2 linked regions of the Nothobranchius furzeri genome follow. The protein of the gene in region 2 purifies or fractionates together with the protein of the main gene of each other region. This does not show direct contact. Links are inferred from orthologs where the notes say so. Each region holds a gene or a part of one and is shown on either strand. Other genes may lie near its edges.

What was found. Proteins that work in one complex are often made in the same cells at the same time.
Region 1: the proteins of tubgcp2 (region 2) and mzt1 purify together in Homo sapiens (affinity purification with mass spectrometry; 4 studies listed by BioGRID and IntAct, counting the BioPlex papers as one, with this or other methods). This does not show direct contact. The link is inferred for Nothobranchius furzeri from reciprocal best matches to the Homo sapiens genes TUBGCP2 and MZT1.

Annotation. Positions count from the first base shown.
Region 1 is NC_091752.1:31,536,105-31,539,275, forward strand, and holds mzt1 (mitotic-spindle organizing protein 1), read right to left. Parts: upstream 1,730-3,171; 5' UTR 1,493-1,729; coding exon 1,441-1,492; intron 1,301-1,440; coding exon 1,155-1,300; intron 994-1,154; coding exon 970-993; 3' UTR 505-969; downstream 1-504. Other genes in the region: bora (protein aurora borealis), read left to right, coding at 2,031-2,180, 2,480-2,586, 2,718-2,763, 2,852-2,930, 3,048-3,092. UniProt on the Homo sapiens protein: Required for the recruitment and the assembly of the gamma-tubulin ring complex (gTuRC) at the centrosome.
Region 2 is NC_091756.1:50,614,327-50,618,501, reverse strand, and holds the start of tubgcp2 (gamma-tubulin complex component 2), read right to left. Parts: upstream 2,846-4,175; 5' UTR 2,705-2,845; intron 2,414-2,704; 5' UTR 2,395-2,413; coding exon 2,245-2,394; intron 1,657-2,244; coding exon 1,528-1,656; intron 1-1,527. UniProt on the Homo sapiens protein: Component of the gamma-tubulin ring complex (gTuRC) which mediates microtubule nucleation.

The sequences.
Region 1 (3,171 bases), on a different chromosome or scaffold from region 2:
GTTTTGTTACAGACTGCAGAGAAACAAAATAATGCTGCCTGGTTAGACGTATGATCAAGCCCCCGTTCCCCACAAGTAGATCAAAGATGTGTTTTTGTCAAGTCTTGCACTATATCTCAAAATGTTGTGGAACAAATTCAGACACATCAGAAAAAAGACTTTAGATCAACAGGACATCCTACTGTTAAGTGACCTTTGCTCAGATCTCCTTTGTTGTGAAGTATTGTTAGCTGTGTTTATTCAACAATTGGCTGTTTATTATAAAGTGTACCATTCTGCTCATTATTTCACCTAGTCTGACAGGAAAGATCGTGTCCTTTTAGCAAATCACTACTTTTTATTAACTTTGCAGTCTAAACACCCACAACACACATTTTATCAAACTATACATTTCTTTATTAGATAAACTTTTCTCAGGAAAACTGGAAAGTTATAACTGCTTGATTTATTCAGACAACACCTGTTAACTTCATTGAATAGAAACACACACCACCACCTAGTGGCCACCTTTGACAAGTTTATTTTAGACAAATTAGTGAAACAACAAAAACCCAGTTTCATAAGTAAAATTAAATATTATTTAAAAAACTCAATTAAATGACTAACTATATACACAAGAAAAACCATAGAAGTTGGACAAAAGGGAATAGAAAATTAAATTTCTCCTTTTAAAAATTATTACTACAGCAAGATATCATTGCTGACTAAGCATCGCACCGCATCCAAAAGCATGTCAGGAGTATGGCTAAATATGAAATTGGATGGACTGAGCATACATCACTTTAAGCATGTGACTTATGTTCAAAATAAGACAGATGGTGCTATTTTTACAGAGAGCCCCGAACACAGGCCAAAGATGTATTAAGTACAGAACAGGACAGCGCAGAAGTCACAGAAAAAAAAGTGCCAAAACAGATCAGAGCATGATCCCGATGAGTGTTTCAAACATTTGAGGTCTGTCTTCTGTCTTCAGTTTGTGCAGTTCTCAGAAGCCTGAAAGAATAACAATAAATATAGTTGTCCATCAATTAACAAGTTGACATTTTTAGCAAGTCTGCAAATGAATGTGTTCTTGGGAAACACTGAAGATGCTCCAAGCTCCAAACAGAACTCTAGCAACTTGCATAATAATAATATGCATAATAATTGTGTACCTTGAAAGACTCTGAAGCTCTCCGCAGCTCTTTGATGACTGCAGACAAGGCTTCAGGATTGATCCCTTGCTCACATAGTCTCACACATATGGACAGAGACTCCATGTCCAAACCAGTGTTCAACAACCTGGAGATCTCAAGCAAGACTGTTAAACGAGAACAATAATGAAACATGTTATTGCTGTGACAAGGTTAGAAGTTAGCTACAAAGCATGTGCGCTTTTACGTTTGTGAAGGTATTTTAAAACTACATGTTCTGCCACTTACGTGCCAAATAAACACTCACCATCCATTGTCTCCCGGACTGCGTTTAGGTTTGCATTTGCTGCACTTGCCATGGTGATAAAACGATGGTTAGCTAACGCTTCCTAGCAAGAGAAGTGGCTAACCAACAGCGTGTCTCTGACGTCACGAGTTAACAATAACTTGATTATAATAATAATGGCTAACGTATTTATATGTCACAGAACCCGATCATTAGAAACGGGCAAACAACATGTAAGCCACATTAGCACATATCTAACAACCTCACCAAAATTCTCACGTCGGTCAAAACTGGCAGCGGAAATAACGTTAAAATCGTCACTTCCTGCAACGTTTCTATTGGCTTGCGGGCCTAGGAGGAGAAATTGAAATTGATGTTTGAATTGTTTCTGTTTGTATGTTTTTCCCCGACCTGTTCCACATATTTCGATCAGAATTATTCGTGCATCTTCAAAGTTGTAAGTACAAATGGCGAGTGGACCGCTTCCTTTCTTTTAGCTAACGTACCGAACTTAACATCACATGAACGACAACAACTGTTGACTTGATCGATTTTCGCCTCGTTAATTCTGCATTTGAAGTGTTTTCTTTTTTATCTCGACTTTAGGCTAGATGGGGGACCACATTCAGCTCCAGATCACACCAGAAACTCCAGGCAGGTCTTCCATAAGGAACCCCTTCGAGAGTCCTAACGACTACCACCATCTGCGGGAACCCCTGGTTCCGAGTCCCTCTGTCTTCAAGTCAAAGACGTGCAAGGCTGTAAGTCTGAACACAAAACAGATCCACATTTATCAGGATGTCTGTGAAAAAATTTGAAATGTTCGTTAATTCTTCATAGTAGGCGTCCAAATGGAAAAAATAAGCAAACCTGTAACCTTTTACAATGGTTGTGATCAATCATTTGGAAGATGATCAACTTATTGTTGGGGTTATAATACAATTTTTATTATTTATTATAACTTATACAAAGTTAGGGGTGATTTTTTTTCATAGAAATTTTCGTAATCCTGAACATTTAACTTTACATAGACTTCATGTATTTCCTGTCTCTTCCGCAGACTCCCTCTAAGTTTAACTGGTCTATTGATGAAATGGCCAGTCTTCTCCCAGTGCACATAGACCCAGAGGAAATCCAGCGACAATCTCTCTACCTCAGCCAGACAAGGTGTGTGTTTGAAACTAAAATTCCTAAAGGAAGCACCGTTGACTGATGCAACTCAATCCATCGCACAATGACAGGGAAAAAGAAAGACTTTCAGAAATTAATTAATAAAACTCGGCTCTTCTTTATTTCAGGATTGATTCTGACATTGAGGAAAAATGTCAGAGTGCTATTGAGCAGGTATTGAATTAATCTAACTTATTCTGGTTTTGTAAACATAAATAAGCTTTTATTTTGATTATGTGTTGCTTGATTTCTTCCAATAAAGTTTTTCACAAAAGGAGCCATTGTGCCTTCCCCCTGGGCAGCACCGGAAACCCGCAGAGCCCCTCACCTGTACAATAAAAGTGTGTTATTTTATTGTTTATATTACTGTTTAAGTCTTAAATTTAGATTTACCTGGACTTTGCACATTTTAATCCGTGCTGGTTTATTTTATTCTGCTTTTGTCTTTTGACATTTAGGCCCAGGGTCTGCAACAATTTCAGAGGCGACAAAAACAGTCTCGGGTTGGTGTTCTTTTTTATAGAAGTGGATGATCTTTCTTCTTATGAACACAAGCCTGTACATGTTTGTCACAAAAATATA
Region 2 (4,175 bases):
GAATTTCTAAAGGAAATGTAAAATATAAGCAAATGATAAACGGTGACCCTCAAGAGCTCTTGATGTTGATGAAATGGAGCAAAATAAAATATAAGAACTTTATTGAAAGACACCAAGCAATATTTTGAGTCAAAGAATGTATTTAGATAACAACTAAGGAAATATACATACGAACTCCACATTAATACAAACAGATATGGCAGATACAACAGATATAATACAGATAATACAAACAGATATAAGAACTGTTCTATTTTTTGTCGATGTTGGTTTTATGCAGTTTCACATTCTTTACAAAACAAAGATAATATGGTGTTTTATTAACAAATTACAATTATAAAGAAAGCATTTAGGTGTTAACAAACAAGAATTTATTAACAAAACTGCTGATGTCTTTCCAAAACGTATGTTTGAAAGCCAAGTAGATTTGCAGTAATGTGACGTCATCGGCAGTCAAAGGACCCCGAGCCGATCCAGCACCCGAGCAGATCCTGTACCGACACCGGCAGTAAGTCGGGCTCGTTCCCAGTGAGAGTTGGACTCCGCCAAGGCTGCCCTTTGTCACCGATTCTGTTCATAACCTTTATGGACAGAATTTCTAGGTGCAGCCAAGGTGAGGAGGGCATCCGTTTTGGTGGCCTGAGGATCAGATCTCTGCTTTTTGCAGATGATGTGGTCCTGTTGGCTTCATCAGAACGTGATCTTCAGCTTTCGCTGGAGCGGTTCGCAGCCGAGTGGGAAGCAGCTGGGATGAGAATCAGCTCCTCTAAATCTGAGACCATGGTCTTGATTCGAAAAAGGGTAGAATGCATTCTCCAGGTCAGGGATGAGGTCCTGCCCCAAGTGGAGGAGTTTAAGTATCTCGGGGTCTTGTTCACGAGTGAGGGAAAACTGGAGTGTGAGATCGATAGGCAGATTGGTGCTGCATCTGCAGTGATGCGGGCATTGTACCGGTCTGTCGTGGTGAAGAGAGAGCTGAGTCAGAAGGCGAAGCTCTCGATTTACCGGTCGATCTACGTTCCTACCCTCACCTATGGTCATGAGCTTTGTGTAGTGATCGAAAGAACGAGATCACGGATACAAGCGGCCGAAATGAGTTTTCTCAGAAGAGTGGCTGGGCCCTCCCTTAGAGATAGGGTGAGAAGTTCGGTCATTCGGGAGGGGCTCAGACCCGCTGCTCCTCCACATCGAGAGGAGCCAGTAGAGGTGCATCTGGCATCTGGTCAGGATGCCTCCTGGACGCCTCCCTGGTGAGGTTTCCCGGGCACGTCCAACCAGGAAAAGACCTAAAGGTAGACCCAGGACACGGTGGAGGGACTATGTCTCTCACCTGGCCAGGGAACACCTTGAGATTCCCCCAGAGGAGCTGGCCCAAGTGGCTGGGGAGAGGGAAGTCTGGGCCTCTCGCCTTAGGCTACTGCCTCCGCGACCCGACTCCGGATAAGCGGATGAAAATGGATGGATGGAACAAAACTTCATACCAGTGAATTAACCCTTATCCAAACAAACGGAATTTTCAAGCATTACCTCTTTATCCTCACAGAGTTTGGAGAGCAGATACACCAAAGGGTCGAGGTTGCGAACATTTTTGGATTTGAGCTCATCGTACTTCCTCAAGAAGTCTTCAGGGGTTTTGGAAAACTCAGCTAATTTCACCTGAAAATGATACAAAAGACCATTTGAAAGCAAAAGTCTGAGTTCATATGTGATAAAATTCCTCATCACTGCTCTACCTAACCTAAAGCCATTTTATGCACATGTGGTACAATTAGGAGATAAACCACTGTAGTGTTATTGTCAGCTGGTTACTGAAGGCTCTCGGTCGGTCTTGTTGAGTATAAACTTCTCCAAAGACATATGACCAATGAAAGAAGAGGTTAAAAATAACCTGCAAAAAAATTAGCTAGTTTAGTATTTTTGTAATTTTGTATTTTGACTAAATCCCATAAAGAAATGTGTATGACATTTGACAACTATAAGAGCTTGTTTACAAGAGCATAGAGATTTTATTTCAAGTTTATTTAAATGAAATTCAACAATCGTCTTCTAGAGTTGTAAATGTAAACACTGGGGCCCATTTTAGTGGAAATAAGATAAATCGGGTATTGAATATCAGCATTCTCTGAAATATGGATCATATTTTCCTTGTTTTCAGTTTCAGTACCAATTACTGTCAAAGTGATATCATTTACTGAGGTTCTTTTATCAAGGACTTTAACATGCCTGGTGTGTGTGTGTTCCCACCTTAGCACTATGAGCAGAGACTGTTGTGGTAACATAAGGAGTCCTGTGTTTCTGCAGTAAGTCGATGTACCCCTCTGCTCCATCACCTCCTCGCACCTGCAGCAGGCTGAGCAGCTCGTTCACGTCGTGGTGGATCCTGAATTCACTCATAGCTCAGACAGCAGCTCGCCTGGTGATTTTAGTTAAAGCAAATCAGAAATTAACTAAGACAACGTCTTAGCTCAATGGTGCCATTCAAACTGAAATTAGAGCCGCTGATTTGTACCAAAAATAATCCGAAAAAGCGTAGAATAATAAATACATCTCCACTTAACGATTTTAGACTTATTAGCTTGTTGTCGTGGCGATGAGAAACAAAAATGTCGCGTTTTAAAGGCTAGTTGCTAACTAGCTTACATGATGATGCTACATTGTGTGTAGCTTAGCCAAAAGGCAAATGTAACAACACAAGGTTTCTAACCTACATGAAAGGTGTAATCAAACTCTGCAGTCAGCGTAATATCTGGTGAACGTATCAAAAACAAAACAATAGCGCTGATAACAAACGCGCCCAACAACACTCAAATTGTTCTTCTTCGTTTGAGTATTCACACATCTGCGGCGCCACACTGCCCCCTATAGGTACACACTAGGTTGTTCTGTGAGTATTGGGCTGCATTAATAATATATTTAGTCTGGTTTGCCTGGCTAGTGCTGCATGGTTCAATAGAAAAAAACAATTACTGGAAACAGACACTACAGGGATTCATCAGTCGGACGGGAACAAGTTATTGGACTCAGACAGATCCAGTGAGCACCTTTTTAAAGACAATGTGCCAAAATGCAAAAAAAAAAATAATAAAGGCTACACGTCTACAGCACTATTAGACACTCAATTAAACAGTTAATCAGCAAAAAAAGGTTGATTTTGATGTGACAGATTCCTGTTTAAGGAGCAATCATGCAAGGACAAAAGCACACAAATACAGGGCAAGGACCTGTGCTAAAGTATCAGAGAGTTATTTTATTTATTTAGGAATCTCCTAACATCTTTATGCAGATGACATCCAACCATACATCTCCTTTAAGCCCCACAAGATGCTGACCCAGCTATCACCTTGGATTCTCATGTCAGTTGTCTTGCTCGTTCGTCCTTCTTCCATCTCAGGAACATTGCTAAGCTGAGTCCCATTCTGTCCCGCTCTGAACTTGAGACAGATCTCCACACCTTCATCTCCTCACGCTTAGACTACTGCAACTCTCTTTTCACATGTCTGAGCAAAACCTCCCTGAACCGTCTACAGGTGGTTCAGAATGCCTGTGCTCGTCTTCTGACCAAGTCCTCCAAACACACCCACATCACCCCGCTTCTCCTCCAGCTTCATTGGCTGCCAGTCAACTTCATTTTCAAGATCCTGGTTCTGGTCTTTATGGCCTTACATGGACAAGCACCATCATACATTGGTGATCTTCTCATTCCCTACACCCCCAGCAGGTCCCTGAGGTCCAGCGACCAAAGCCTACTGGTTGTGCAGCACACCAGACTGAAAACCAAAGGTGCCAGATCATTTTCTGCGGTGGTCCCCAGACTCTGGAACTCTCTCCCCCTGAACCTGAGATCAGTGGACTCAGTGGTCTCCCTTAAAAAGCAGCTGAAAACAGTCTTGTTCAAGCTGGCTTTTGCATGAAATTTGTCATCACCCTCTCCTTGTTCTGCTCTTATCCCGCCTTTCCTGGGATCCACTGATTTCCCGGAGGTGTCGATATGAGTATCTATGACCTTGAACAGTATCCTTAACTTATCCACAAGACAGCAATACGCCTGTGAAGACACAAGACTCTTTATCAAGTCCTTTTAATAAAATTATCTTTTGTGACTCAAAACATTACTTTCTAACATTACAGGTTGTTACAATCATATTCTGTGGTACCTACAATATGCTTGTAAATCT